7 linked regions of the Mus musculus genome follow. The protein of the gene in region 1 interacts with the protein of each later gene in a pairwise test. Links are inferred from orthologs where the notes say so. Each region holds a gene or a part of one and is shown on either strand. Other genes may lie near its edges. The genes, in order: Cep76, Dzip1l, Akap7, Sall2, 2510002D24Rik, Cabp5 and Ttc21a.

Region 1 (3,500 bases):
GGGTAGCACTCTAAGAAGGTATGGCCTTGTTGGATGGTGTGACATTGGTGGAGGAAGTGTGGCTCTGAGACTCAGGGGCTCAAGCCAGGCCCAGTGTGGCATTCTCTTCCTGCTGCCTGCCAAGGTAGCGCCCTCAGCTCCTCTCCAGCCCGCATGCTTCCTTCATGTTTCCCATCATGACAATAATAAACTTCTAAAACTGTAAGCCAGCTCCAATTTAATGGGTTCTTTAGCCGGGCAGTGGTGGCATATGCCTTTAATTCCAGCTCTTGGGAGGCAGAGGCAGGTGGATTTCTGAATTAAAGGCCAGCTTGGTCTAGTAAGTTCCAGGACAACCAGGGCTACACAGAGAAACCCTGTCTCGAAATACAACAACAATAAATGTTTTCTTTATAAGAGTTACTATGGGGGGCTGGAGAGATGGCTCAACAGATAAGAGCACTGACTGCTCTTCTAGAGGTCCTGAGTTCAATTCCCAGCATCCACATGGTGGCTCACAGCCATCTGTTATGGGATCTGATGCCCTCTTCTGGTGTGGCTGAAGAGAGTGACAGTATACTCACATACATAAAATAAATAATAAATCTTAAAAAAGATAGAATAGGGTTGGAGAGATAGCTTAATGGTTAAGATCACTGACAGTTCTTCCAGAGGTCCTGAGTTCAATTCCCAGCAACCACAAACCATCTGTAATAGGTTCTGATGACCTCACATACATAAATAAATTAATCTTTAAAAAAAGAAAACAAAAAAACCAGCATTAAGTACCACTTCTATGACTCCGCTTGCTATGAGAGCTGAACAACCCTGGAGCTCATACAAAGGAGGAAGGAAAAGAACCATCTTCAAACTAGCCTTTGACCTTCACACGTGCACGGGGCATGTGCGTGGTCATATATCATTTACACACATTAGTACAAATATACATGAAATATTTTTAAACAATTATAGTAAGTGCAATAATTGTATTGCAAAGTGTATAATCACTATGTCTGAGCCAGTGACCAGAAATGTTTGCAGAATTTGAACTACAAATGAAACCTTGACTTCGGTGCAGTTTCATGCCGATGAACGTATTAGCTTGAAAGTGCCTTTAGTACAGCTGTCCTGCCCTCTGTTGTAGCTTAGAAACACAATACACTAAGGAATATCTGTTGTTTACCTTTGATCTGGTGACACACTGAAGCTGTGGCTGCCTAGCATCAAAAAATTGTACATGCCACACATTACTAGTCTAGAAATCAAAATTTATAGTATAGTTTCTATGGAATATATATAGGTATCACTTCTGAGGAATAGATCAAATAGTTTATATTCACCTCATCATATATATAACACCTACAGTGCTAGATGTTTTTTGACATTAAGTGTCATAGATGATGTCTTAGGGTTTCTATTGCTGTGAAAAGATACCATGACCACAACAACTCGTTTATTTATTTGTTTGTTTGTTTGTTTATCTGAGTAAGCTGTAGCTGTTATCTTCAGACACACCAGAAGAGAGTATCAGATCCAATTACAGGTGGCTGTGAACCACCATGTGGATGCTGGGAATTGAACTCAGACCTCTGGAAAAGCAGTCAGTGCTCTTAACCATTGAGCTATCCCTAGGGAGTTGGAGAGATGGCATCCACATGGTGGCTCACAGTCATCTGTAATGGGATCGGATGCCCTTTTCTTGTCTGAAGACAGTGACAGTGGGCTCATATAAGTAAGTAAATCTTAAAAAAAAACAATAGCAAAAAACTAACATAAATATCCAAATGTTTAATCAAGTATTATGAAAAGGTATATTCCAAGTTAACAAAAACTGTTATGCCACCAACCTACCCAATAAATGATAACTATTTTAGAAATAAACTTTCATTTGTGCAATGAATATATTTTTACAAATGTAAATTAAACATTTATAGCACTACATTTCAAATATAGGGATGAAACTTGTCTAAGATAATTTACAAACCTGGGCAAAAATCTTGACCAGCCTTGAGTTGTGAGAAGGTCGAATTTGCAAATACTCCCTCCACCACTGCTTAGCATAGACGAGAAATAATCGCTCTTTCTCTGCAGTTTTCTGACGTTCCAAGGCAAGCTTGAAATTAAAAAAAATAAATTAATTAACAATTAAATGTCTATAAAATGTCCTCAATTACCAGAACAATCTACTGTTCTCCATTGCTGTTTCTAACTTAACCTGAACTACATACTCTTCTGCAAACAACTCAACATTTCCCGGATTGTATAATTACTTCAATATCCCTAGTCTCCATCCCATCATCCAAACGACTTTTTCCTGCACACGTGGAATTTTTTAAGTAAGGAAACACTTCAGTCACTTCCTACCATCATGAAAACTACCTGTCTAAGCTTATTATCACTCCGGCCCCCGGCTCATTTTCTCTCTCCCATCCACACAAGCCTTTTACTCAAGGATGTTGCACCCACTACCCAAAAAACACAGGCCCAATCTTGGAATTAAATACTAACATTTGTTGCAATTCAGATACGTTTGTACCCTAAAGATGTGACCTAGGTTGGCCTCCCAGTAACCATCCATCACACACCACCCTGCGGAAACTTTTCAATTTAAAACCTGTAACTGGAGTTTTGTTTTGGTTTTATGAGACAGGGCTTCTCTGTGAAGCCTGGCTGTCCTGGAATTCACTTTTAGAGCAGGCGGGCCTTGAACTCAGAGATCCGCCTGTCTCTGCAAGTACTGGGATTAAAGTCATGCACCACCATACCCAGTTTACAGCCAGCATTTTGTTTCCTCACTGTCTCCAGACTCCTACGAATAAGCTGCTATAAATGGAGCATGGGAGCACATGCTTTTAATCCCAGCACTCAGGAGGCAGAGGCGTGGATCTCTGTGAGTTCAAGGCCAGCCTGGTCTAGGAAGTTCCAGGTCAACCAGAACTATATCAACAAAAGACCCTAAAAAAACCTCATATGAATGTGAATATGTGTGGGATGCAGATGCCCAAGGAGGCCATGTGAGTGACTGGACTCCTTGCAGTTGAGAGTTGCAGGTAGCTGCCTCAAGTACATGGTGCTTTGTTTTAGAGATTTGTTTATTTTATGTTCATTACTGTTTTTGCTTTCATGTATGGTTGTGTGAGGAGCCATGTGCCCTGGAACTGTAGTTACAGATAGTTGTGAGCTGCCTTGGGGGTGCTGGGAATTGAACTTGGGTCCTCTGGAAGAGAATCCAGTGCTCTTACTCACTGAGCAATCTCTGCTGGGATGATCTTTGTGTGCAGTGTATAAAGATGGTCTTTAGCCGGGCATGGTGGCACACGCCTTTAATCCCAGCACTTGGGAGGCAGAGGCAGGTAGATTTCTGAGTTCCAGGCCAGCCTGGTCTACAGAGTGAGTTCCAGGACAGCCAGGGCTACACAGAGAAACCCTGTCTCGAAAAACCAAAAAGAAAGATGGTCTTTGTATTTATCAAATGCTGATTTCTGTGCCAAAGAGAGGACTTCAGTATTATTATTCGTATA
Region 2 (3,500 bases), on another chromosome or scaffold:
AGGAGACTCCTTGTCCTGCCTTTTAAACGCCCTGCCTCTGAAAAGCTGCTCCAGAGACTCAGGGCCACTGTGATGGGATACTCTAGTGTCCTACTAACGAGGCCAAGGCAAGCACCTTGGAGCTTCCTGTGACAGACGCTCTGGTTGTTCACGTTTGCATCTAGACCTGGGCGGCATGCATGCTCTCAGTCACCTATTAAGAGTGTTAGACTATTAGTGTTCATTCACAACAGAGGAAGAGGAAGAACTTAGAGATCTTTACATGGGCTCCAAGATGAAACCCACACACAGTATGATGTGTAATAAAAAAGGTATGGGAGTAATATTAAATGCAGATTATTTTTTAACTCCTCACATTCACAGAACTGGAAGCCCAGAGCCTTGAACTCCTGAAGCTCTTGAGAGGCCTTAATTGAAAGGACCCTTCCTTGAAGACTGGAGGTCAGAGCTGCCTGGTAAATACTAAACGTGAGAGGAGATGGTGGAGGAGTGGAATAGCCTAGAATGGGTCTGGGCTGCAGCCAGTGGGAAGACTGAAGTCTGCTGGGGGGGGGGGGGGGGGGGGGGGCTAGGCTACATCCAGACTACAGGGCCCAGGCCAGGAGCTCTCGTCCATGGTTCTCTGTACCTCCACTGGCTGCCTGGGTTTGGACATATGACATTCCACGTATTTCATCCTGGCATGTAAGAAGACAGCATCCGGGGCCTAGACAGCACCTCCATCTGTTTTGCCTATCGCTGCTGTTTCTGAATGGAGGACAGGAGAACTTTACATAAACTCCAAGATTGTGTCATTAAAAGAAAAAAGGAGATAGACAGTGCTATTATAAAACAAAGAGTAGGGGACTAAAGGGGTTGCTCAGTGACAGTCTGCCTAGCAGGTGATAGTGCCATCAATAACACTAAAAAGACAACTGCTCACAACTACTACTACTACTACTACTGTTGTTGTTGTTGTTGTTGTTTGGGGCAACATCATAATCATTTCAAAAATAATAAATAAATAAACCTTTTTGGTTGAAAGACGTGAAGTAAAAAGAATTCTGTTTTTCTACCCTAGAAAATAACAGAGAGTGGCAGCTGTCCCCTGGGAGGGGAAGGGTGGCGAGTCTGGTACTCACAAGAGTGCTAAGTCTGCAATCCCATGGCAGCTACAGCCTGAGGAAGGCCAGGCCCTCGGGGGGTGTAGTGGTGAGACACCGACCCCCTTGAATACTTGGGACAGAGGTCTACACTTCTCCATCTGATGTGCTGTGTGGCACCACTCCGATGCCTGCCCTTGGTGGACAGTGTTTTACATCTAACCCTGTGTCAGGGCCTTCTGTCGAGTGAGGGCCGGGGAGACTTGGGACTATGGAAGAGATAGCACAGGAAGATAGCAACCACAGCAGGAAGGTCCCAGGGAGAGGAGACTAGGACCTGAGCCGCCTCAGGAAGTACTTATATAATGAACCAAAGGGATTTTTTAAACATGGCCACAGGGAAAAAAAAAACCCGAAGTGGTCATCTTTCTATGTATACAGAGACAAAGGAGACAATGTCACATGCAGTGAGTGGCCTTCTCAGGATACATCAGACTGATACTTGGCTCAGTCTTTCCCCAGCCCTCCACTCCAGAGCCCTTAGATTTGGAGCTGGCTCTCCATGGGATGTAGAATTACCTCCAAGCGTCCTACCTGAGACTTCCTTGCTGGTGTGGAAGCCCTCTGGAGGGCAGCGTTGGGCCTTAAGAACATATTGACCCCTCCGGAAGGCTTCTTGGCTGGCGTTTCAAGCTGCTTCTCAAGGTTTTTGACAATTGACTGCACCAGTGTTCCTGGGAAGGGGACAAGGAACCAGGTCAGTGGAGCAAACCTGGAGAGTGAATGCTTAGTCCCTTTGGGCCACACCTAGGCTCCAGTGTGAACGGATGGACAGAGAGAGAGAGAGAGAGAGAGAGAGAGAGAGAGAGAGAGAGAGAGAGAGAGAGTCAAGAGGAAAAAGAAAGGACAAGCCCCTCCCCTCCCCCACAGAGAAAAAAAAATATAGAGATGGTCCAGGCTAATACTAGCCTGGTTTCAAGAGACTTAGATAGACAGACAGACAGACAGACAGACAGGTGATAGAGCAAAACAAACAAACAGACAAAAAAAACCCGCCTTCATCATGTAACTGTGCTGAGTTAGGACGTGGCTGCTGGCGGAGGTTTAGAAAGACCAACCCTCTAATGAATCCAAGGCAGAGCCAGCCTTCCGTTTAATTCCTGTAATTCTGTAATGCATGAACTACAAAGACTGGCATGTCAGGCAATGTGTGATGGCTAACCTTGTCAAGCTGACTGGATTGGAAATGGCCTAGGGAATTAGTAGAGCACACCTCAGGGGCGTGCCTGTGAGACATAGGGCTCCGATCTAATCAGTGGATTAGATTCACTTCCTGTGAATTCCATACAGGAAGCAGGTGTTAACCAGTAACTCGGATTATCAATAGCCACACACACACACACACACACACACTCATGGTAAACCAAGATGATGGAGAAGCATAGCCTGAACTTCACCCAGCTCCCTGGATTCAAACGCTAAGAATCTCTGCAGACTTTTGGAGCTGTTAACAGCCCTTGGATGATTGATCATTGTGGTTCCCGGGGCTGAATGGCCCAGTGGTTAAGAGGGTCTACCTCATTTAACCTGAGCTTGGCTACCACCATCAGTCAGCTCACAACCACCCACAACTCCAGCTTCAAGGATTCCAGCGCCCTCCTTTGGCCTCCACGGGGCCATCTGCATCACTTGCACATACCTGCACACAGACTTGCAACATAGTTAAAAATGAGTCTTTAAAAGACAGAAATGCTTATTAAATTCCTACTCTGTGCCAAGCACCGAGTTCCTCAACCTCCTTATTAGTTGTCTTGTTAAAATATGTCATCTCTTACAACAGAGAAACCAGAATCCTCGAACAAGGCCAAGCAGAGGGTAACACAGCCAAACTGTATCAGTAGACACATGATCTCCCAGCTCCATCATCTTGCCAGCCCGCCCACTAAGGCAGCAAGGCTCCATCCAGAAAACTAACCCTGGTGGCTTCTCACAGGCTGACAGGCTTGGACTATGCAGCGGGCATGAAGCAGCATCTCGGAGTCTACTAAGATAAGGAGGCGCTTACAGACTGCAAACCCCAGGGCTCCCCTCGCTTCTCCTTTGCAATGTCAAAACTGTAAGCGCCCCATTCTCCACCTGGGCGGAGAAACACAGCCTGAAGCAGGAGCATCACTTCCTTTGGTGGGTTTTATAAGCGAACCTTGAAAGGCTGGGGGCAGATGCCATTACTTTGAGAAGAGAAAGGTTCAACTCCTCATCGTGACGCCCTACGAGATAGAGCATGGTAAGTTTAAAGAACAAGTCACTCCAACTACCGGAAAACTCAGCTTCAGTCACTATAAAGCCATTTTCATCAACAGCCGGCATCCTGTTTGTCTCCCAAGCAAATGTCAAACAACATTTTCTTTCCCACACAGA
Region 3 (4,272 bases), on another chromosome or scaffold:
ACAGTCGATCTTTAAGATTTAAAGCACAAATTCATTGTTTTGGCTGCTGTAATGTTGCTTAAATAAACTGAGCCTGGTAGCACAGACCTGCAATCCCAGGTACTTAAAGAGTTGAGGCAGAATAATAAATTAAAAAAACAAACAAACCTATACAACTAATTTAGTGAGATTGTTGTCTCACCTGTAAAGTTAACGGAGCTCGGGATCTACCACCATGAGAGAGCTCTTGCTTGCTGCGTACCAGACTGAGATTCAACTCTACAAAGTACATCAAGCTATGTCAAAGTGTGTAAGCCAGGCGTGTTAGGTCACACTTGCAATCCCAGGGAGGCACAGACAGGAAGGTGAAGAGTTCAAGGCTACCCTCAGCCTGAGCCACATGGCACAAAGAATTTTAAAGTCACCCAAAATTTGGTCTGTCACTAAAACAAAGTGTATCATTTCCAAAAATCCAAATAATCACGGGAGTAAAGGTTACACTAATAATGATGACGTGAAGCTGGAAATTAGCAATACTAGAATTACTAGTTTTGCTAATTAGACATTAGCATTACCAGCATTACTAGCCAACATTGTAATGGGTACTTTATGCCAGGCACGCGCACTTTGCTAAGTAACTCATTTAAACCTTAACAACTCTGTTATAGGGAAGACTAGTATTACACCAGGCACCGACTTAGGAACCTGCCCACAAGTAAAGTAGATTCAGGAGCTAACATTCGGATCACGTGAACATGTCACATGACCCACAGTTTCCAGAATCACTCTTTACCATATACTGATGGCAGCACTGTAAACTGAGGCAGGAAGCAATGGGTCAACAGGTGAGAAGCACGGAAGATGGCCTAAATGTCTTACTGAAATCTGGGTTCCTCTCACATACACTCAAACAGGCCTCCTCGCAACCTTGCTTGAAGCAAAGAGAAAAGGGGAACTAATTTAAATGTCTAACAGAGAAACAACTAAACAGTGCATGATCATTCTGGTGACTGAAAACCACCGGTATGAGGAGTCTAACAACAGGGGGAAAGGCGACTCTCTAACAAGCAGATACGCAGTCAAGGTCATGCTGACTTAGCATACACAAAGCCCTAGGCTTTATCCCCAGTGTTACAAAAACAAGCATAAGTCAAAAAGTAGCTAGAAAACTGCATGTTCCCAAGACGTACGGGTAGGAAAGGAAGAATAAAAGCTGAAGTGTTTCTGAATGCCAAATACTTTCCAACCACTGTACTAGGTTGTTTCTAAAGTGAATATTGCTTTTGTAAGAAAAACCATGAATGTATGTAAAGAATCTTCTCAAGCCAAGAAAGTAAATGCATTCAAATCCTCAGATCACAGGGACACTTCAGCAAACACTACCAAAGCCAAGCAAACAGAAAACAAAAAAGACAGACAGACAGACAGACAGACTGCCCAAGTCCTACAAAGTAAGTTTCCTATCTGAACAACAAAACACACCTTCATTGGGCAAGACTCTCTTCTGGTTCCCCAGCACTGTAAACAGCTATGGAATGGGCCTGTCATTCATTACGGTCTATCTACTTCGACTAGCTACGTAAAACAGCAGAGTAGGTCTCCAGAAATGTTTAAACTTCATGCCAACCAGGCCACTTACCCAGTGTGCTTCCATTTGCGCCTCATGAAGAGGGAGCAATCCAAATTATTAAGGAGAAATTGACAAATCGACACTACATGAATGGAAGGACCCAGTAAACTGGACAAGTGCCATAAGCTTTGTCACTATAGGGAAACGATGCGCTAACAGCATCCCAAACTGCAAAGCCACACGGTGTAAAAAGGTGAGAAGAGTCCTCTCTTTCCAACTATTACCCTATTCCCTTCTGCCTATTACCCACACTCCTGTAACCTTATAAAAACATCTCAAGCAGGGACACTCTGGGCATCTCCTCACGTGATACGAGTAATTGCATTCACATGAAATTTATAAACGCATGTACATTATTCACCTGATTTATATTTACATACATATAAAGTATTTACATAGCATGCTTGGACTGCCTATTTTAATATTCTTACGCTTTGTATACATGTAGGTGTTCTTGTAGAACACCTTTTTCCCCTTACTTCCCAGTCCCTTTCCCTCCGAGTCCAACCTCTAATTCCTACCCAGGTTCAGCATACAACGAAAGTTGACCCAAGCTGAAGTACATCCTGGGCGCCAGCAGATTGGCGCCCGTTTTAAAGTGTGCCTTGCCAAGCCTCGAGTAAAACCCTAAATGAGACAAGACAGTGTTCAGAGGCTTCTATTTGCCATTTTAAAAAATAATTAGGTAAATAAAACGGAGTTTTTTTTTTCCCCCCTTGATTTTGTTAACCTCCCCAACACAGTAGGAAAGGATGTGCTGCAAAACTCTGGGTCATGGGTCACAAGATAGGAAGAGGTAAGAGAAACAACAACTTGTGTGTACACCCCTTTCGGTTCGAGGAGTGGAGTGGTGCACGGAGACCCACGGATGCAACCAAACTGCCCGGACTACCGGGCTGGACCGGGATGCCCAGGGTGTAGGGGGAGGGTCGATCGCGAGGGGCGTGGGGCTGCGGGCGGCCTGGGAGGCGGAGCGGGGCGGGCGAGCACGCCCCACGGCAGAGGCCGCCCCGGGGCGCGCAGGGCGGAGCGCTCTCACCCACGGCGGGGCGCTCCATGGTCGCGGCGCAGAGACGGAGGCGCGGGCCCGGGGCGCGCGGGACGGCGGGGGCGCGGGCCGCGGCGGCCAGGCCTGCGGAGGCGCAACGCCCCGCGAGTCGCAGCATCCCCGGCACCCGCCGCTTCAGGAGGAGCCGGAAGGGGCCGGCCCGGCGAGGCGTGGATACCCGGATCGGGGCGGTCCCCGGGGCCGTGCTGGGCTCGGGCTCCGACCTCTGGCCGCCCTCGGTTATTTCCTGCGGCGCGGCCCTTCCCGTCCCACGCTCGGAGGGGCGAGCCAGGGATCCAGAGAGCATTCCTTGGCCCGCTGTCCCTTGAGAACCCGTGTGTTTGCTTTAGCGTGGAGCTTTGGAAACACAGATCTGATTGCAAAATAGGCGGGCTGAGCAAAATGTACAATACAATAGCGAGACCTTGAACGTCGCTATAATGAGATGCTTTTATTTACTTGCCATTACCCCCCCCCCAAAAGTAGCATTTTCAACAGCAGTTTAAGAGCTAAAAGTTGGAATTGTTAAATGAAATCATCTACAAATTTTTTGCAGGCAAGGCTCCTCAGTATCTGAATAAAATAAGAGAAAACTATTTTTTTTAATAGTTAAAATATGAATATGTCTTGTAGAAAAGAATGCTACTGTTTTTTTCCGGGCTGGGGGCAAATGGTGGTATTACTGCTGGTTTGTTGGGGAATGTAATTTTAATTTAAGAAAATATGGTGGTGTGTCTCTTCTCCACAGCTGTAGCCCTTAAAGCTGGTAGGGAACTTTGAAGAATTCCCTGCTTAGCCCCTTTTTGTGGATCTTCACGGAAAACGGTCTTTTTAAAGGAGCAGGCTATCTAATCACAGAGAAAGAACGAAAAATAAGTAAGGGAGCTTGCGGCAAGAGGATCCTCAAAGGCCAGCCGATGCTAGCTGGACTGGACAGGGTACAGATAAGACGTTTAAGCATAAGGATTACTTTACGCAGTAGACAGAGAAACAACTCTTTGCCCTCCCTTTTCCTGCTGGAAGTAGACTATACATTTCTCTTTGTAAGGATTACTCCCCACTCTGTTTTAAAGGTGTATTTATGTAACTGGGGAGTAGGAGCAGTGCACTGACACAGCAAGGTTGACAGCCAGTTTGCAAAGAGTAGAGCACTACCCCCACTCCCCCCTCCTCGGGCTTCACAAAGGACGCTACAGACCTGGGAGACGTGGGTTCTGCACCTCATGTGTGGTCTGATGCTTGGGGGCGAGGTGTCTTCCTTCAGCTCAAGAGCCCACTCCTGGATTTCCCTCCTTTTAAAAACAAAACAAAACCAAAGCGCTGTGTTTCTATTTTAACCACACATCTGTGGTGTAATCCTTAGCCTTGGGATATAACTTCAGTGGAGGAACCAGAACACCAACCCAGCCCCCAAACCTTTCACCTACAATCTACCCTGTCTGAAATAATGTGCTGGGGCAAAGGAGGCAAAGATCTTGGGAGAGTGGCCAACCAGTGACTGCTCTAGTCTGAAGCTCACGCCACAAAAGGAAGCCCATGCTTGATACTACAGCATGACCAGGAACCAGAGGCTGGACAGCCCAGAGACCTTTGATAAGAAAAAGAAAATCGCAAA
Region 4 (4,237 bases), on another chromosome or scaffold:
GACTGCTCAGAGCTGTTTTCCTGGGCAGCTCCCCCACCTTCAGAAAGTGCGGAACCCCCATTGGGGATCTGGCCCCCCAGGTGCATCCGAACATGTTGCTGCAGAGTGACAGCATTAGTGAACTTCTTCTGACAAATGGGGCAGGAGTTCTGAGCCCGGGCAGCTGGACTGGTCTTGTGACCCACGAAATGTGCGCGCAAATTGCCCCTTGTGGAGAAAGCTCGGCCACACACTTTACACTTGAAGGGCCGCTCACCTCCATGTTGGCCATAATGCAGGCGTAGAGCCCGAGGGCAGCTCAGGACCCGAAGACAGATCACACACTGGTTAGGTCCAGAAGCGGAGGAGGAAGGTGCAGGGGCAGAAGTGGTGGGAGCTCCCGAGGCAGTAGATGCCACCGCCACAGCTCCTTGGCGGTCAATCTTTTCTACTAGCTGCTGCAGCTTTGAGGTCTCAGAAGGCGAAGCCCCCAAGGGTTCTAGCACATAAGGGAAGGGGAAACTTCCAGTTGACTTCAAGTGATTAGTAAGCAGTGCCCAACTCGGTAGTGACGTCACCAGCTTACTTAGCTGCATTCGGGTTGCTGAGCCACTGTCTGCTACTCCAGCGATGGCGGAGCCCTCACTCCCTGGGGGCGTGTTCTCATCCGCTTTACTCTTGGGTTCCACTGCCTTCATGAGCACAAACTTGTTGAAAGTAGGGAGCCCAGGAGCCACTGCTGTGCTTGTGCCAGTGGAGAGCAGTGTCAGGCTCTCTGTGGCACTGAGTGCTGTGGTGGAGGCCACTAGGGGTTTGCGTTCAACACCTCCGCCTGGTGTGCCTGCCTCCTCTTCTGCTTTCTCTGGTGGCACAGACATTCCGTAAGGCAGCCCACTGCTGGTGATGACGTAGTCTAGGTGCTCCGGTACTGGATGTGGATTCATTTGCACATGTGGGTACTTCTCACGATGCCGGTGAAAATGTACTTTGAGGTTGCCCCGAGTTGTGAAACGGTTACCACAGACGTTGCACTTATAGGGCCTCTCACCAGTGTGGGAACGAAGGTGGATCTGCAGGGCGCTGTCACTGCCGAATACTTTTGCACAAAAGCGGCATTTGTGCCTTCCACCGGGTTTCTCCAAGGAACTGATCACTTCCCCATAGCCCAGTTCACCACTTCCGTTCTTTGGCTTCAGGAGCCCTGGGGAGGCAGCAGCCTCAAGGCCCCTTGCTGCCCCAAGACACTGAGCTGCCAGGAGTCCGGTGGTGCCTGGGAATGCCAGATGAGGTGAAGCAATCAGCTGATCCGTACTGCCTGGCAGCGCAGGGGAAGGGGCAGGGGTGGGTTTGTGGCTCCGCCCAACCCCTCCTACAGAGAAGGGATGCTGTGATCCCAGTGGATGGTAAAGGTGGAAGAAAGCCTGCTTAGGCGGTTCAGCTCCAGAGGAGGAGGATGACGAAGAGGAAGATGCCAGTGTCTTGCCAGTTTGCGCTGGCTTGATGGGACTGAAGAGAGGCAGTAGGGGCTTGGTGGAAGAGGCAGCCCCTGTCCCAGGTAGCTCTGAGGGACTGGCAGGGGCACCCACGGTCTGCCCCAAGGAGCCAAGTAGCAGCACCTGGCGGCAGATTTGTTCAGTCATCTGCATCTGGTGAATCTGGCGCTGCTGCAGCACCCGCAACTCTTCCAAGATCAGAGGAATGTTCAAGTGGCCACTGCCTACACCTGGAGGGGGAGGGGGAGGTGGGGGAGGAGGGGGTGCAGGAGTGGATTCTGGAGGTAATGGGGTTGCTCCCAGCTTGGGACTGGCCAAGATAAGGCCCCCACCTCCCCCAGCCGCTGTACCTGTGGCAGCGACCAGGAATTGCCCAGAAGATTCCTCTCCCCTCCGCTCTGGCCCCCAAGTGGGATCCGGGGCCCCAGAGGACCCAGAATCTGGGGGATTGCTGTGCTCTGTATCCATGACCTGGGACCTACTGTGGCCCTCTGGTCGGGGCGCAGAGGAGGCTGAAGAGTTGCTGGGATTCTCCTGGCCTCCAATTATCACCATTACCGGTGGGTCAGTGCAACATGAGTTCTGGTGAGCGAGGAATTCGGTCGGGTCAGAGAATTGTGCGCAGCATTTGGCACAGACTTGGGGGTGGTCTTCCTCGCTAGCATCACCTGGGGAGAAGACAAGGAGAAAAGTGTGGGTAATGCCACAGTGTTGGATAACGGAGGCTCTAAAGAACGGGCGGCCCAGGAACCTCCGGTTAGGGTCGGAATTTAAGCTTACAGTCAGACCCTGCAGGAAGCTAGCTCTCAGACAGATCCGACTCTCGTGGTTCCTGGACACCCAGCAAAACGGGGGTTGGGGGATAGGGCGCGCACTCTCCCAGCCTCCTCCGTTACCCCTCCCCCTCCTCTGGCCCAGGAAGGGTGAGAATGGATGCGAGACCTGGGGCCTATGTGCAGAATCACACATTTTATCCGCCCACTTAAAGTCCTTACACACGAGTGTTCCCTAGGCCCCCATCTCTGCCCAAGCCTGGCCCTACCGCACCTCCGCGCTCCGCAGACTCCCCGCAGGGTCCCCCGAGTCGAGAGCTGCTCCCGGTTTCCTGCGCCATGGCCGTGGGAAGTGGAAGGCGGGATGGGTTAGGACACAATGGGTATCCGGTCTGGGGAGGCCGCCGGCGCTGCGGCAGTCTCTGCACCCAGCGACCCAGACTGCGGAGGAGATCGGCAGTGGCGGGGGCAGGGAGCAGCGGCGGAGGGGGGAGGGAAGCGAGAAGGCGCGGAGGAGGGGAGGAGCTGGAGCGCGAAAGCTGGTAGTGGGGAGATGGGGGAGGAGAGTTTGTGGGGGAGAAGCTGCCAGGGAGGGAGACGAAAGCTGGAGGAGGCGAGAGCGGAGAGTGCGGGGGGGAGGGGGGAGGGGGGAAGCGGGGAGGGGGCAAGTCTAGGAAGCTTTACTCCGGCTCTGGGTCAGGTGTCAGTGAGGCACCTTAGGGGCCCACTGTGCCCTATCCTCTGCCAGCTCCCCACCCCAGATGTCTTTATCCTAGCTGCTTCCACTGGGTCAGCCTCAAGCCCACAGTGGGAAACATTGCCCGCTCAATAGATTAAGGCGATAGGCTTCAGTAATTTTTCTTTGGATAAAGGATCTGCTGAGCTCGGAAAACGTGGATTCCAAAGGGTGCTCAGCTCGCCTCAGAGGTCGGAGGACAAGAATGGGAGGAGCAGCCTCAAACACCCACCCCTTACCAGCTCGCACACCGCAGAATGATCTCAAGTTTTCTCTTCACCCCTACTCCCATCTTACCCTCATCTCTCTTCACAAAAGAAGTTTGGGGAGGGGGGTGGATTGCAAGATAGAATTCCCAAGGGAGTCATTTGAGGGCCCCTTCTTGAGGAACACCAAGCCCTTCCCCCAGAGTTCAACACAAGCTAGTCCACAGGCCACTGGCCATATACCAAATGCAGAGTTCCTACTTTTAAAAAAGCCCTTCTTTCCGGTTCGGTACCCTCTTTCCAACCCACCCCGTCCCTAATGCGGACAATTAAATAAGATATTAGCTTACAAAGGCCTAAGGAGGTCCACCCAGCTCCAACCCTGGGGGGAGGGGAGCTCCTTCTGAAACAATGGGGAAGATGCGGAATGGGCTTTCACTGTCTGCAGCTCAGGATCCAAAGCTCCTAACGGGCCCCAAGCGGATTTCAATTCCTAAACAAGACTGACACCTGCTCACCTCCATCGGGCCCTGCCTTTTATTCAGAGGGAGTAAGTAGGGATAAGGTGCCGCAGACCAGGTATTCTGCATTCTTTTTCTTCCTTGAACTGAGATTTAAAGGGTCCCCTACTTCCTAAAATCCTTTGTTTATTTATTTTTTTCTTCAAGACAGGGTTTCTCTGTGTGGCCCTGGCTGTCCTGGAACTCACTTTGTAGACCAGGCTGACCTCGAACTCAGAAATCCGTCTGCCTCTGCCTCCCAATTGCTGGAACTAAAGGCGTGCGCCACCACTGCCCGGCAAAATCCCGTTTTTTGTTTTTTGTTTTTGTAAGATTTATTTATTATATGTAAGTACACTGTAGCTGTCTTCAGACACACCAGAAGAGGGCGTCAGATCTTGTTACGGATGGTTGCGAGCCACCATGTGGTTGCTGGGACTTGAACACTGGACCTTTGGAAGAGCAGTCAGGTGTTCTTACCCACTGAGCCATCTCACCAGCCCCAAATCCCGTATTTTTACATGGAAAAAAAAGTGATCTCAGGTCTTGG
Region 5 (3,966 bases), on another chromosome or scaffold:
CTTGGAGTGGAGCTGGTCAGGCCTAGCAAGGTCCTCATGGAGGGTGCACTTTCCCTCTATGTTTGTAGTTCCAGAGTGTGTCCATTTGCTCTTAGAAATATCCATAAACTTAATTGGCTCCTAACTCTGGCACATACATCATTACTGGCCAAATGTGGCTCTGGAAGGCATAAATGCTGTGGTAACCTGCCCGACCTGTCCTATGGGGCTGTCTCAGTTTCCCTAGCAGTAAGACAGCTTTCATTTGTAGGATTCTGTTAGCTAACTTGGTCAGGCTGGAAAGAGCTCAGTTAAGCACTTGTTCGTGCAGAGGATCCAGGTTTGCTTCCCAGCACTCACATGGTGGCTCATAGCCTGTAATTATAACTGTAACTCCAGTTCCAGATGATCTAAGTATATGTGTTGCACATACATAGTTATACACACAAGTGCACTAATAAAAATGTGACTGCATGTGTAGATAAGAGTACAGTGCTCAGGAGTCCCTTCTGTCGCCTAGAAGGATCAAACTAGGAGGGATCAAACTCGGGTCCTTGGTTCTGTTCACAAGTTTCTCTACAGCTGAGTCATCTCACCTTATGATCTCCAGTTAGGTTTTTTTTTTTTTTTTTAAATTGTTTTTGTTGTTGGGTTTGTTTCCTTTTTGAGACAGGGTCTCACTAATATATATATATATATATATATATATATATATATATATTCCTTTCTGGTCTAGAACTGACTCACTGAGATGTCCCTGCTCTTGTTTCCTGAATGCTGGGATTAAAGGTGTGCAACCCTGAGCCTGTCACTTCTAGGAGAACTTCTTTCACCCTTAGTCATCCTGCACTGCCTTCCTCCTCTCCATACACCAAATCAAGCTCACCTACACTCTGTGTATGCTCAGGCTACATACCTGCAATTTCAGTCCGCCAGGTGGGTTACTCAAGAGTTCAAGAGTCTGTACTTCAAAAACTGAACCACATACGGATTTGAAAAATAAAAAACTGGGAGAACTGACCAGAACTCCTGTTTTTTCCGAATGCTAATTAATACCTTATGTGACTTTGAAGCCAAGCCATCGGCTAGACACCAGGTAGTGTGGCCTCTGACTATCAGCCACTCAGTGCAGACGTCCTGTTTAGTGCGCGTTTGCTTGGAGCTCATTGGTTCATGTCCCTGTCAGTCACACGGGGCCTGGACATGGCGGTCGCAGGGAGCTGGCAGGTGAGTGTGCTTGGCTCCTGGGCTCCTGGGCTGGGTGGGATCAGGCCCTGGGGGCTGCCCGCGCTCTCCGCTGTCTCTCCCCGCAGCCTCCCCGGCCGTGCGAGGTCTACCGCGCCGAGTGGGAGCTCTGCCGCAGCGTCGGGCACGTCCTACACCACTACTACGTCCACGGCAAGCGGCCGGATTGCAGGCAGTGGCTCCGCGACCTGACTAACTGCCGCGAGTGGGAGGAGAGCCGCAGCGCCGAGGCCCAGGTGCGGGCTGGGTGTGGATGTATGCGCAGATCCTTGGGGCAACTCTCTCGTGTTTCTCTCCTGAGTACCAAACTGCGTTATCAACGAGACTTTAGACAGCCTCAGTTACGGGGTGGGGCGGCGCGGGGAGGGGGGCGCAGAAGGAAGGGAAGTATAGAGAGGCTTGGAGAGAGTAACCTTATAGCGTTAGAGTCATCAGCTTGACAGCAAGCTTGCCTTCACCCAGCCCTTGGGGATAGGACGGAGGAAGAGAAAAGCCAACGTGTCTGGAGCACGAGGGTGGGCTATAGAGGGCATAAGAATGAGTCCAAGAGCACCTAAAAATGTTCCAGTACTTGTGAATTGAGTTATCTTTGGCAGGTCAGTCTGGACCTGAGAGTGTGAAGGGTACTGTAGAGGACAGAGACAAGTATGGAGGCTGTTGCTGGACCTTTTCGAGGGAGATGTGAAGAAACCTCTACTTACTCTAGATAGCCATGTAGACATGGCGAAAGTAAAAAACATGGCGGAAAGCAAAAGACTGGAAACTTAACTGTCTGTAACTATATGTCAGCTATCATAAATTAGTGTAAGAAACAAAGATGTTTCTGAATAGAGAAATGGCCAGGGTCATGGAGAAGCAATTCACCGGGAAACTCAGAACACAGAAGCAATTATTTCTTTATTTTATTTTTATTTTTTTTTATTTATTTTTTTTTGTTGTTGTGATTGAGACAGGGTTTTTCTGTATAGCCCTGGCTGTCCTGGAACTCACTGTAGACCAGGCTGGTTTTGAACTCAGAGTTCCGTCTGCCTCTGCCTCCTGAATTCTGGGATTAAAAGCGTGTGCCACAACCACTAGGCTTCTATATAGTTTTTAAAGTACTTTTATTCTTATTTTATGTGTGTTTTTCCTGCATATTTATCTGTACCATGTGAATCTACTGCCTGAGGGTCCTCTGGAACTGTAGTTTCAGATGGTTGTAAGCTGATGTTTGAGTGCTGGGAACCGAATCCCAGTCCTCTGGAAAGCAGCCTCTAACTGCTGAGGGATCTCTCTAGTCCTTACAAGCCTTTTTAAAAAGTCTTTGTGTGTGCGAGTGCGTGGCATGCGTGTGTATATATGTGCACACATTGCATGTAGAGAGACCCTCTGTTGACATTAGGCATCTTCCTCAGTCACTTCCCACCTTATATACTGAGGCAGGATCTCTCTGAACTTGGACGTCTCCATCTCCTGAGTGCTGGGACTACAGGCATTCACCCACATACTAGGCCCCTATTTGCTTCTTTGTTTTGTTTTGTTTTGTTTTGTTTCGAGACAGGGTTTCTCTATATAGCCCTGGCTGTCCTGGAACTCACTCTGTAGACCAGGCTGGCCTGGAACTCAGAAATCCTCCTGCCTCTGCCTCCCAAGTGCTGGGATTAAAGGCGTGTGCCACCACTGCCCGGCTCCTATTTGCTTATTAAGTAATAATGATCATGTGATCATGTTAGAGATGGGGTCTGGCTGTATAGCCCAGGCTGGTTTGGAACTTCAGATCCTTTTGGCTTTGTCTGCCAACTGTTGGGAATACTACCGCTCCCAGTTTAAGAATGTTTGTAAAGAGGCCTACATAGCACCTGACACTTTGCCAGGATCAGCCCTGTCATAATACACTGTCTAGTGTCTGTTGGCAGTGGCTGAAAGAAGCTGGCAGGATGGGGGGCACCTTTTACACATACCCTGTGCAGAGTCCAACAGTAATTTTAGACGCTCTCCCTCTCTTCCCCACCCAGTGTCCTCACTCCCAGGCTAGGCGGGTAACTAGCTCCACACTCTCCAGGTCTGCTGTTGCTGAGGCTTAGCGGGTTTTGCATGGCTGAAGGCAGAGACTGAACATAGTTGTGCATGCTTATAATTGCGGCACTCGGGAGGTGGAGACAACAATCTCAGAATTGAAGGTCATACATAGTGATCTTGAGACCAGCCTGGGCTACTTGAGACCCTGTCTAAAACATGTCCAAAGAACACAAAATAAAACTGCTGAAGTAAGATGACCGGTGTGTGCTAAAACAGAACAGTTGCCAAGGAGTGTGGTATAGAAGCAGCTGAGCCTGTGTGTACCATGTGCTCCCATGTGTTCCTCTCTTCAGAAGAGTGTTGAGGAAGAGGGTGATATAGGTGCCATGCAGCAGTACTAAGAGCCCTAGGATCCAGTGGTGAAACAGTAAGTGACCAAGTCTCATTTGTACAGCGATCCCTCTGTGAGAGCGAGCAGGTTCGGGTCCAGGCTGCTCAGAAGCACACCTTGGTATGGGCCTTGAGGCAAAGGCCCCCTACGGACTGGAACCTCCCTCTACCACAGGAGAAGGACAAGTGATAAGCAACTGCAACCCTACCCTTGACCTAGACTTTGACTGGCTCTTACTTGACCTGGAACACAGAGCAAAGCATTTCCAGCCCTAATTGCCTGCTGCCCACTGGATCTGGGCATTTCATCACTGTAATACTCTGAAAGACACCTGTGTGCACATGCTGGAAGCC
Region 6 (4,261 bases), on another chromosome or scaffold:
GCATCATTTCCAAGTCCCTGTGACTTATGCAAATGAGACAGACACCTGTCAACACTCAAGGAGTAGAACCTAAAATGACCCAGAATGTGCTGTGCAGATTATATTTGATCAGGGACACAGGAGAAAAGCATTCTTCACATGGGGTAATTTACACAGAAATGCAGGAGAAGAGAGCAGTAATAGGTGACTACATGGAAGGGCATCTGAGAAAGGAATTACCATCAAGCTCATCCTGTCCCAGTGGTCTCTCCTGAAAAGAACACAGGAGAGGATATTGAAAGAGTCAGAAATATAATTCCCACCTCCCAAAAAAACCCCATTGTTCCATCAAGCTTTTTTACCTTCACAGTCTTCCTCTAACTTTCATATTCCTCCCTCTAATACAACTCCCATCCCCAGCTCTTCTCTAATGACCCTTTTCTCCCATCCCCACTCATTTCTTGTCTCCCACCTTTGCATCTTAATCTCCAACTTTCTATCCCAAACATCCTGTGATAAGAACTTTTTCCCCAGATAAAGAAAGTACATTATGTCTCATCTACTGTGTTCAGAGGGATCTCTGTGTGAGTACTGTCATTATACTTATACCTCAGAACCACATCACTGAGGTAGACTCAAATATTCTTATCTTACCCATGAGAAGCTAAAGAATAAAAAGATTTAATGAGCCTACCAAAGGTCACACAGCTCATAAATAGAATATTCCCTTTCAAGGGAGAGATAAATAAATTTGTTCTATTTTCCTTTTATTTATTTGTTTGTTTGTTTAATTGTTTTGAAATGCAAGTACTTGCCAAGTACTTGTGAAGGATCAGAGGACAATTTGAGGCAATTGGTTCTCTCCATACACAAACCTGGAGATAGAACTCATGTAATCAAATTTAGCAACAGGTCCCTTTACCTTCTGATCTATCTCATTGGCCCTTATTTATTTATTCTATTACATATTTATTGAGATAGTTTCATGTAGCCAGGCTAATACCTAAAAAGAACTCCTGATCCTCCTGCCTCCATCTGACAGACACTAGAATTACAGACACAACCCACCACACCTACTTTGTATGGTACTGAAGATTGAATCTAGGGCCTCATATGTGCTAGATAAACTCTACCAACTAAGATACATACTCAGACACTTCAACCTTTAAAACTAAATTTGTTTTATCACCAAAAAACCAGTTTTGCATCATGATGTTGTCACACACCTATGTCATTGTTCTTTGCTGACTTTGGCACCACCACATATAGTACATGTTCCACTCTTTCCAATCCCATTTCTTCCCAAATACAATACCCTCTTCTGCTTTTATGACATGCATACTCCTTTGAAGTCACTCAAAGATCAGATACAGGATTGAGAGTAGGATGTAGAACTCCTGAATGCTATGCCAAATTCTTTCTGCTACATCCCACTGACTCTAGCACCTCCATCCTCATTCCTGGGGTGAGCTTCTCCTGTGTGAAACCAGTTCTCAGAGGGGTTTTCGTAGAATATTCAGTCTTAGTCTTACATATGGGAATTGCTGGTCATTGTTCCCTAATCATGAGTACACCTGAGGGTATGCTTGGTTAGCAGGCATAGTGTCTGGTAATTAACTTCTTATCAACCTTATTCTGGGAGACCTCACTGTGGATTTTCTCTCTTCTTTTCTAACCATGAAATCTCTTACCTTCCCTCATCTCTCTTCCCCTTTTCTCCTTCCCCTATTTTTCCCTTCCATGCCTTGCCTCATCCTGATCTGTGTCCCCTCCTCTTCTCTTCCCTTCTATCTTTTCCCCTTATTCCTTTCACCGCTCCTTTCTTTTTCCCCCTCTCTGGTAATTTTAAGGCCTTACAATGAAGAATATGCTACTGAGACTCAAACATGACTGAATAAGTAAATAAATGAGTGAATTAACAGATAGATAGATAGATAGATAGATAGATAGATAGATAGATAGATAGATAGATAGAGACACATGTTGGCTGTATAGGCGTAAAACAAACTACTTCATGACTTAATGGCCTCAGTTTACAATTTTACTTCCTTGTAAAATAGGAATGAAATTATACCAAACCTCATGTGCTGTTCTGAGGACTGAATGCCATCAAGCACGTAAAGCCTTTTGCACAAGACTGGACAAACAGCAAGACTTAATAAGCAATAGCTATTGTTAATACCATCATCAGCATCATCACCACCATCACCATAATCATCATCAGAAGCAGCAGCACCACCATCACTATCCTCATTGTCATCACCATCCTCATCACCACCGTCAGCACCAGCAATGTCATCACCACCAGCAGAAGCAGCATTACCATTAACACCATCACCATCATCATTGTATGATTTCCCATATGAAACAATGATGCTGTCAACAATGGCTCCATAGCATCTCTCTTTTATGTCTCACTCCACTATACCCCTCTGCTTCTGACTTCTGATCACTGACCCTTATGCCCAAACAGTGCTACCTGAGCTTCAGTTTGTGCTCTCTCCACCTGCTCCCCTTGCTGCTCAGCATTTGCATACCCCTTCTTTTCCCCATGCCCCAGACCCCCTTGATCTTCCTATCATTCTCTGCACCATCCCCACCTCACCCGCTGCTTTTCAGCAATGCCTTTTCTCAAGAAGATGCAGGCAGGACCCATTGGAAACTGCATTGGAGCAGGTAGTGTTCACCAAGCTCTGATGTCAAGATGGCCCCTCCTTCCTACTTCCTTGCAGCAGGCAACCCAGCTTCCTGATTGTCTCAATCCTTTGCCAACTCCTCCTGTTTCTCTTAGCTTCTTCCTCAGTCCCTGTGAGAGATCTGTGACAGCTCATGGAAAATTCTACTTAGACAGTGGAGGGATTAGAGCTCTTCCTACCTCCCATTTATGGCTGGAGTGAGATGGGAGGGGGAGCCAATGTGGGCCTCTGAAACTCTTTTATCCCCAGAATGGAATTGGATAGTACATTTTGAAAGAGGGATTAGGGTGAGGCCTCCAATCATTTTCTGTACCAACAAGCATTTTGAACACTCATCTAAGCCTGACCTTTAGTGAGTGAAAGATTAAAAGGATGAATGTGGTCATCAGCCATGCGCCCAAAGGAACAAGATGCAACAATACTTGATACCAGAAGATCACAGGCACTTGGAGAAACTTATATACTGTTGTTTTTCTAAATAGGTATTTTGCTAAACTGCCTTCTAAATACTTATTTTTATACCTATAAATTAGTTCTGCTTTTGACAATGACTAAAAAAGACTCTCTACAATAGGTAGCTGTCAATACTGAAATAATAATCAGCCAAAGTGCTAAGTATTTGTTGAGTGTCCAGTCCTAAATGGGACATTGCTATCAACCCCTTCCTTAAGACTCAGGAAACATTAAGGAGTGGAGGGGAGTGAAAGAATGGAAGAACCAAAATATGGAAAACATGCTGTGAAATATCGCCTTCTAAACATGACACAGCCATTGCACTCAGACACTCATTGCATCTATGGTTATTTGAACAAGAACAATTGAACAAGATTAGTTAGCAGTGGATTGAGAGAAAGAGACAGAGAGACAGAGACAGAGATACAGAGAGAGAAAAAATATGAAGGTAGAAAGGGAAGCATTGAGAGATGTCAAGAAGGAGTAGGAAAGTGAGTGAGGATATGCTTAGTATACATTATATCCATGTAGGAACTTGCCAAAGAATGAATAAAAAATAAAAAGGAACCACTTGATTTCAGATGTTATGTGACCTCCTAAGGAGACATAAATACATGTTTATTCTACATAAGGCACTTGCAGCCAACCCAAGTCTAACTTTGTGAACCAGTGAGTTCATTCAGGTTGCCAACAGGAATATGAGTGATGGATTATGACCCATCACTAAAAGCCTATCATAGGTAATGACTCATGAATGCTGTATATTTGAAAGTCCCTACACAACCTGCAGGCAGTTCCCCTGAAGAGTGCCCTCACATCTAGAAATTGCTTAATACTTACATAACTTTGGGGAGGAACCCTTGTGAATCATGTAATTTCCCGAGCTGCCTTGGTCTTGTAAGTTTCATGAGCTTCCTGAGGCTCATAGGTTTGATAGTTTCCTGAGACTTATAAACCTACTCCTCTCCAGAAGCAAATTGCTACATAACACTGGATGCTAATACATGAATATGCATAGGATGGAAGCCATGGCAATCATTCATCCTCTGCTCATCTCCTCCCTTTTGCTCCTTCTTGATACTTGTGTGGGAAGAGCAAAGTTGGGTATGTAAGGAGGATGAGAAGCCTTATTA
Region 7 (3,500 bases), on another chromosome or scaffold:
CAGGGAAAGCCCTCACCTCTATCTTCATGTGAGCACCACCTACACCTGTACTTTAGCCCCTGCCATGGAGATTGGTTCCCCTAACCTGCTTGGGGCAGAAATGCAGATACTCCTTGGCGATGCAGACCAGAAAGAGGGGGTCCAGCTTTTCAAAGTACTCGGGGCTCAGGGCCAGACCCTGCATGCTGGAGAAGTGCACTTCCACCGCCTCCTTCAGGAGCGCCGTGGCCTCCTGCTCCAGCCTTTGCTTCTTAGCTGCTACGAGGGCTTGCAGGAAAACCAGCAACTGTGCGAGAGAGGCTTGGGCTCAGGCGAGCTGAGGCTGGCCCCGAGCAGTAAGGTGGGCCACTTTGATGGCCCTCTGCTGGAGACCCCCCTCCCAGCCATCCTTGCCCATTAGCTCTGACCTCAGACTTCCCAAGGGACTGCTGCACCTCCTTGAGGAACTCCAGCTGGTGAGCAGCCTCCTCCAGCTGGCCCTGTAGGATCTGGCACCAGATGCTCCCTATAGATGAACGAGAATGAAGCTGGGCAGGCAGGCAGGCAGGCAGCAGAGCCAGCAGCCCTGCAGAGCGGCAGAGCCAGGGGCAGGACTGAGGAGGAAGGAGGCACCCCAGGCTGTGTCCTCATGTCTTTACAAACTGAAGAGGGGGCAGGGAACGGAAGCAGGAAGACAACAATGATCCCTCATTCATATGTTAGCTTTAAAATCAGCTCCAGTGATAACCACCATTAAGAACTTGGGGCTTAACCCTTCGGACATTTTTCTAAGTATTTGTTATTAATGTACACACAGCTACTCAAAGATCCACATTTGGGGGTCCAGGGTATAGCGTGCACGAAGCCCTGGGTATGTGTGTGCAATGCGCATGAGCATGTCTGCCATGTTGCACTCGTGAGGGTCAGAAGGCAACCAGTGGGAGCCAGTTCTGTCCTTGGTGGGCCCTGGGGACTGAACTCAGGTCATCAGGCTTGCTGGTGGCCACTTTACCCACGCAGCCATCCTGCCTTCCCTGCTAAGAATTGAGACATATCATTCGTTCCAGTCTCAGACACATTCAATCTTACCAGTCCAATGTGACAGGGCGAGCTGGAGGTAGACACAGCTGGTAAGAGCGCTGCGGTTCCGGCAGAGGACCTGAGTCAGGTTCCTAGCACTCACAAGAGGGCTCGAAACTGCCTGCAACCGCAGCTCAGGGGATCCGACACCCTCTTCTGACCCCTGTGGGCACCTGCGCTCCCTCTCCCACTCAGGGGATGAGTTCTAGTCCATATTCTTTTGATTATTAGGGGGAGTGAACATTTTTATAGTTTTTAGTTAGTAACTTTTTATTTTATTTTAATTGTTTTAAAGGTTTATTTATTTAATGTATATGGGTTCACTGTAGCTGTCTTCAGATACACACGAAGGGGGCATCCTATCCCATTACAGATGGTTGTGAGCCACCATATGGTTGCTGGGATTTGAACTCAGGACCTCTGGAAGAGCAGTCAGTGCTCTTAACTGCTGAGCCACTCTCCAGCCAGTTAGTGACTTTAATTAGATTGTGAATTTCCTATTTGCAGCCTCACCCCACCCCCTGCCTTTTGTTTGGGGTGATTTTTTTTTTATGGTGGTGGTGGCAGACACTCTACTAGGCAATGTCCACCAGTTTCTTTTTATATACTAGGGTGATTAACTTATTTTTAATCATTATTATTTTCAAGACGGTGTCTCATGTAAGCCTAGGCTGGCCTCAAACTCTACAGAGCTGAGGGTGATCTTGAACTCACGATCCTCTCCTCCCAGCTGATGGTGCCCTTCACTTCAATCACTGGGAAGTCCCAGGCTTTGGGGCTTGACTTTGCTTCCTAGAGGCCCCCTGATTTGCGTGACCCACTGGACAACCCCTGCCCTGCACACTGCTTGCAGATCCAGAAGTACAAAGACTGAGCCTGGGGTAGTTGGTAGAACTTGCAAGCTCAGGCTGGCACCTCCCCCTGACTTGCCCCTCTGGGTCAGCTGAGATGGGGACTCCAGCAAGTGAAGGGCTGAGCTTGTCCTGGGTCAGATTGGTGTGAGGCAGACTTGTAAGCAGCTGGCTTCCCTCTGGTTCCCTGCCGGGGCCTTCCCTGAAATGAGGAAGCTGGGAAGGAGTCAGTGTGGTGAGTGAATGCCTCAGGAGATCTGCCTGTGTGCTGAGCCGTGCTGAGACTTTCATGGCGGTGATGAGGGGTCCTCTGGGGCAATACTCTCTTCCCTCCAGTTCTCTGTAAGGGTCTCCTTGAATGTTCTCACAATCCACTTCCTGGATATCTGTCCCACTGTGAGCTTTTGCTCTCTGCCTCTGATACCCTGATATTCCCTGGGACTCTTTGGAGAAAGCTGGTCTGCTCATTTTGTTGTTTTCTGAAGACAGGGTCTCTGGGTGGGGAGGATGGTCTTGAACTCAGAATCCTCTGCCTCAGTCTTCAGAGGTCTGGAGTGGCAGACATGGCCACCATGCCCAGCTTTGGTCTTTGGCTGGCTCACCCCTGCCTATGTTGGCTCACAGGTTTCTAGTCATGCTTGGACTTCCCGAGCGTGACACTGTCTGCCTCTGAGGTTCTTGAAACTTCTGGTCTGCTAATGTCACTTTTCCCTTCTAGCACACTTGCAATGGAGTCTTCTTTTAAATTCCCTTGTTTGCTTGCTTGTTTGTTTATCGTGGCCCTGGCTGTTCTGGAGTTCTCTATGTAGACCAGGATGGCCTCAAACTCACAGAGATCTGACTGTCCCTGACTCCCGAGGGCTGGGATTAAAGTCATGTGTCACCACATCCAGCTTGGAGTCATCTTTTAAGAATGCCATCAGGGCTGGCCAGAGTGCTCGGCAGATAAAGGTGCTCGCTGCATAAGCCTGGTGACCTGACTTGGATTCCCTGGGACCGACATAAAGGTGGAAGAAAATCAAAGATGTCCTCTGGTCTCCATATGTGTGCCACGGCATTGTACAAATGCACACTAATAAATAAAATAAAACAAAATCAAATCAAAGCCTTCATGTTCTATGCCTGTAATGCCAACACTGGGGGCAGAGGCGGGAGGGCTGGCTCAAGGCCATTTTCAGCTATATTAAGTTTGAGGTCAGGCCGTACTACAAAAGATCTTCTCTCTAAATAATAGATAGATAGATAGATAGATAGATAGATAGATAGATAGATAGATAGATGGATGGATGGATGGATGGATGGATGGATGGATGGATGGATGGATAGATAGATAGATAGATAGATAGATAGATAGATAGATAGATAGATAGATAGATAGATGATGGAGGAGAGGTGTTGGTGTGAGGGCCTAATGTGCTGACCAGAAAGTTTTAACTGCTCTGATAACTACACTATCTCTCAGGGAGGCCTGAGCTTAGACCAAGGGACCTCAATACTCAGCCCCTCAGGGCTAGCCAAGAACAGTTGCTCCAAGCACTGAGCCAGCTTCCTCCACCCCAAGCAAACCCCAGTGCCCCAGAGAACACAGAG

The links.
Region 2: the proteins of Cep76 (region 1) and Dzip1l interact in binary tests that used the Homo sapiens proteins (3 or more experiments, as listed by UniProt). The link is inferred for Mus musculus from reciprocal best matches to the Homo sapiens genes CEP76 and DZIP1L.
Region 3: the proteins of Cep76 (region 1) and Akap7 interact in a two-hybrid assay, tested with the Homo sapiens proteins (3 studies listed by BioGRID). The two-hybrid records come from large-scale screens. The link is inferred for Mus musculus from reciprocal best matches to the Homo sapiens genes CEP76 and AKAP7.
Region 4: the proteins of Cep76 (region 1) and Sall2 interact in binary tests that used the Homo sapiens proteins (3 or more experiments, as listed by UniProt). The two-hybrid records come from large-scale screens. The link is inferred for Mus musculus from reciprocal best matches to the Homo sapiens genes CEP76 and SALL2.
Region 5: the proteins of Cep76 (region 1) and 2510002D24Rik interact in binary tests that used the Homo sapiens proteins (3 or more experiments, as listed by UniProt). The two-hybrid records come from large-scale screens. The link is inferred for Mus musculus from reciprocal best matches to the Homo sapiens genes CEP76 and C22orf39.
Region 6: the proteins of Cep76 (region 1) and Cabp5 interact in binary tests that used the Homo sapiens proteins (3 or more experiments, as listed by UniProt). The link is inferred for Mus musculus from reciprocal best matches to the Homo sapiens genes CEP76 and CABP5.
Region 7: the proteins of Cep76 (region 1) and Ttc21a interact in a two-hybrid assay, tested with the Homo sapiens proteins (2 studies listed by BioGRID). The two-hybrid records come from large-scale screens. The link is inferred for Mus musculus from reciprocal best matches to the Homo sapiens genes CEP76 and TTC21A.

The regions. Positions count from the first base shown.
Region 1 is NC_000084.6:67,627,856-67,631,355, forward strand, and holds part of Cep76 (centrosomal protein of 76 kDa), read right to left. Parts: intron 2,093-3,500; coding exon 1,964-2,092; intron 1-1,963. UniProt on the Homo sapiens protein: Centrosomal protein involved in regulation of centriole duplication. Required to limit centriole duplication to once per cell cycle by preventing centriole reduplication.
Region 2 is NC_000075.6:99,664,031-99,667,530, reverse strand, and holds part of Dzip1l (zinc finger protein DZIP1L), read right to left. Parts: exon of another isoform or gene 1,817-3,500; coding exon 1,677-1,816; intron 1-1,676. UniProt on the Homo sapiens protein: Involved in primary cilium formation. Probably acts as a transition zone protein required for localization of PKD1/PC1 and PKD2/PC2 to the ciliary membrane.
Region 3 is NC_000076.6:25,294,280-25,298,551, forward strand, and holds the start of Akap7 (A-kinase anchor protein 7), read right to left. Parts: upstream 2,801-4,272; 5' UTR 2,649-2,800; intron 2,458-2,648; exon of another isoform or gene 1,619-2,457; intron 1,613-1,618; exon of another isoform or gene 182-1,612; intron 1-181. UniProt on the Homo sapiens protein: Probably targets cAMP-dependent protein kinase (PKA) to the cellular membrane or cytoskeletal structures.
Region 4 is NC_000080.6:52,313,524-52,317,760, forward strand, and holds the start of Sall2 (sal-like protein 2), read right to left. Parts: upstream 2,801-4,237; 5' UTR 2,587-2,800; coding exon 2,520-2,586; intron 2,141-2,519; coding exon 1-2,140. UniProt on the Homo sapiens protein: Probable transcription factor that plays a role in eye development before, during, and after optic fissure closure.
Region 5 is NC_000082.6:18,835,414-18,839,379, forward strand, and holds the start of 2510002D24Rik (UPF0545 protein C22orf39 homolog), read left to right. Parts: upstream 1-1,166; 5' UTR 1,167-1,182; coding exon 1,183-1,206; intron 1,207-1,292; coding exon 1,293-1,460; intron 1,461-3,676; coding exon 3,677-3,802; 3' UTR 3,803-3,966. UniProt on the Homo sapiens protein: Negatively regulates long-term potentiation and modulates adult synaptic plasticity. Stabilizes the interaction of RTN4 isoform A/Nogo-A with its receptors, inhibiting clustering of postsynaptic AMPA receptors at synaptic sites.
Region 6 is NC_000073.6:13,396,694-13,400,954, reverse strand, and holds the start of Cabp5 (calcium-binding protein 5), read right to left. Parts: upstream 2,801-4,261; 5' UTR 2,648-2,800; coding exon 2,585-2,647; intron 251-2,584; coding exon 220-250; intron 1-219. UniProt on the Homo sapiens protein: Inhibits calcium-dependent inactivation of L-type calcium channel and shifts voltage dependence of activation to more depolarized membrane potentials. Involved in the transmission of light signals.
Region 7 is NC_000075.6:119,947,606-119,951,105, reverse strand, and holds part of Ttc21a (tetratricopeptide repeat protein 21A), read right to left. Parts: intron 506-3,500; coding exon 408-505; intron 287-407; coding exon 86-286; intron 1-85. UniProt on the Homo sapiens protein: Intraflagellar transport (IFT)-associated protein required for spermatogenesis. Required for sperm flagellar formation and intraflagellar transport.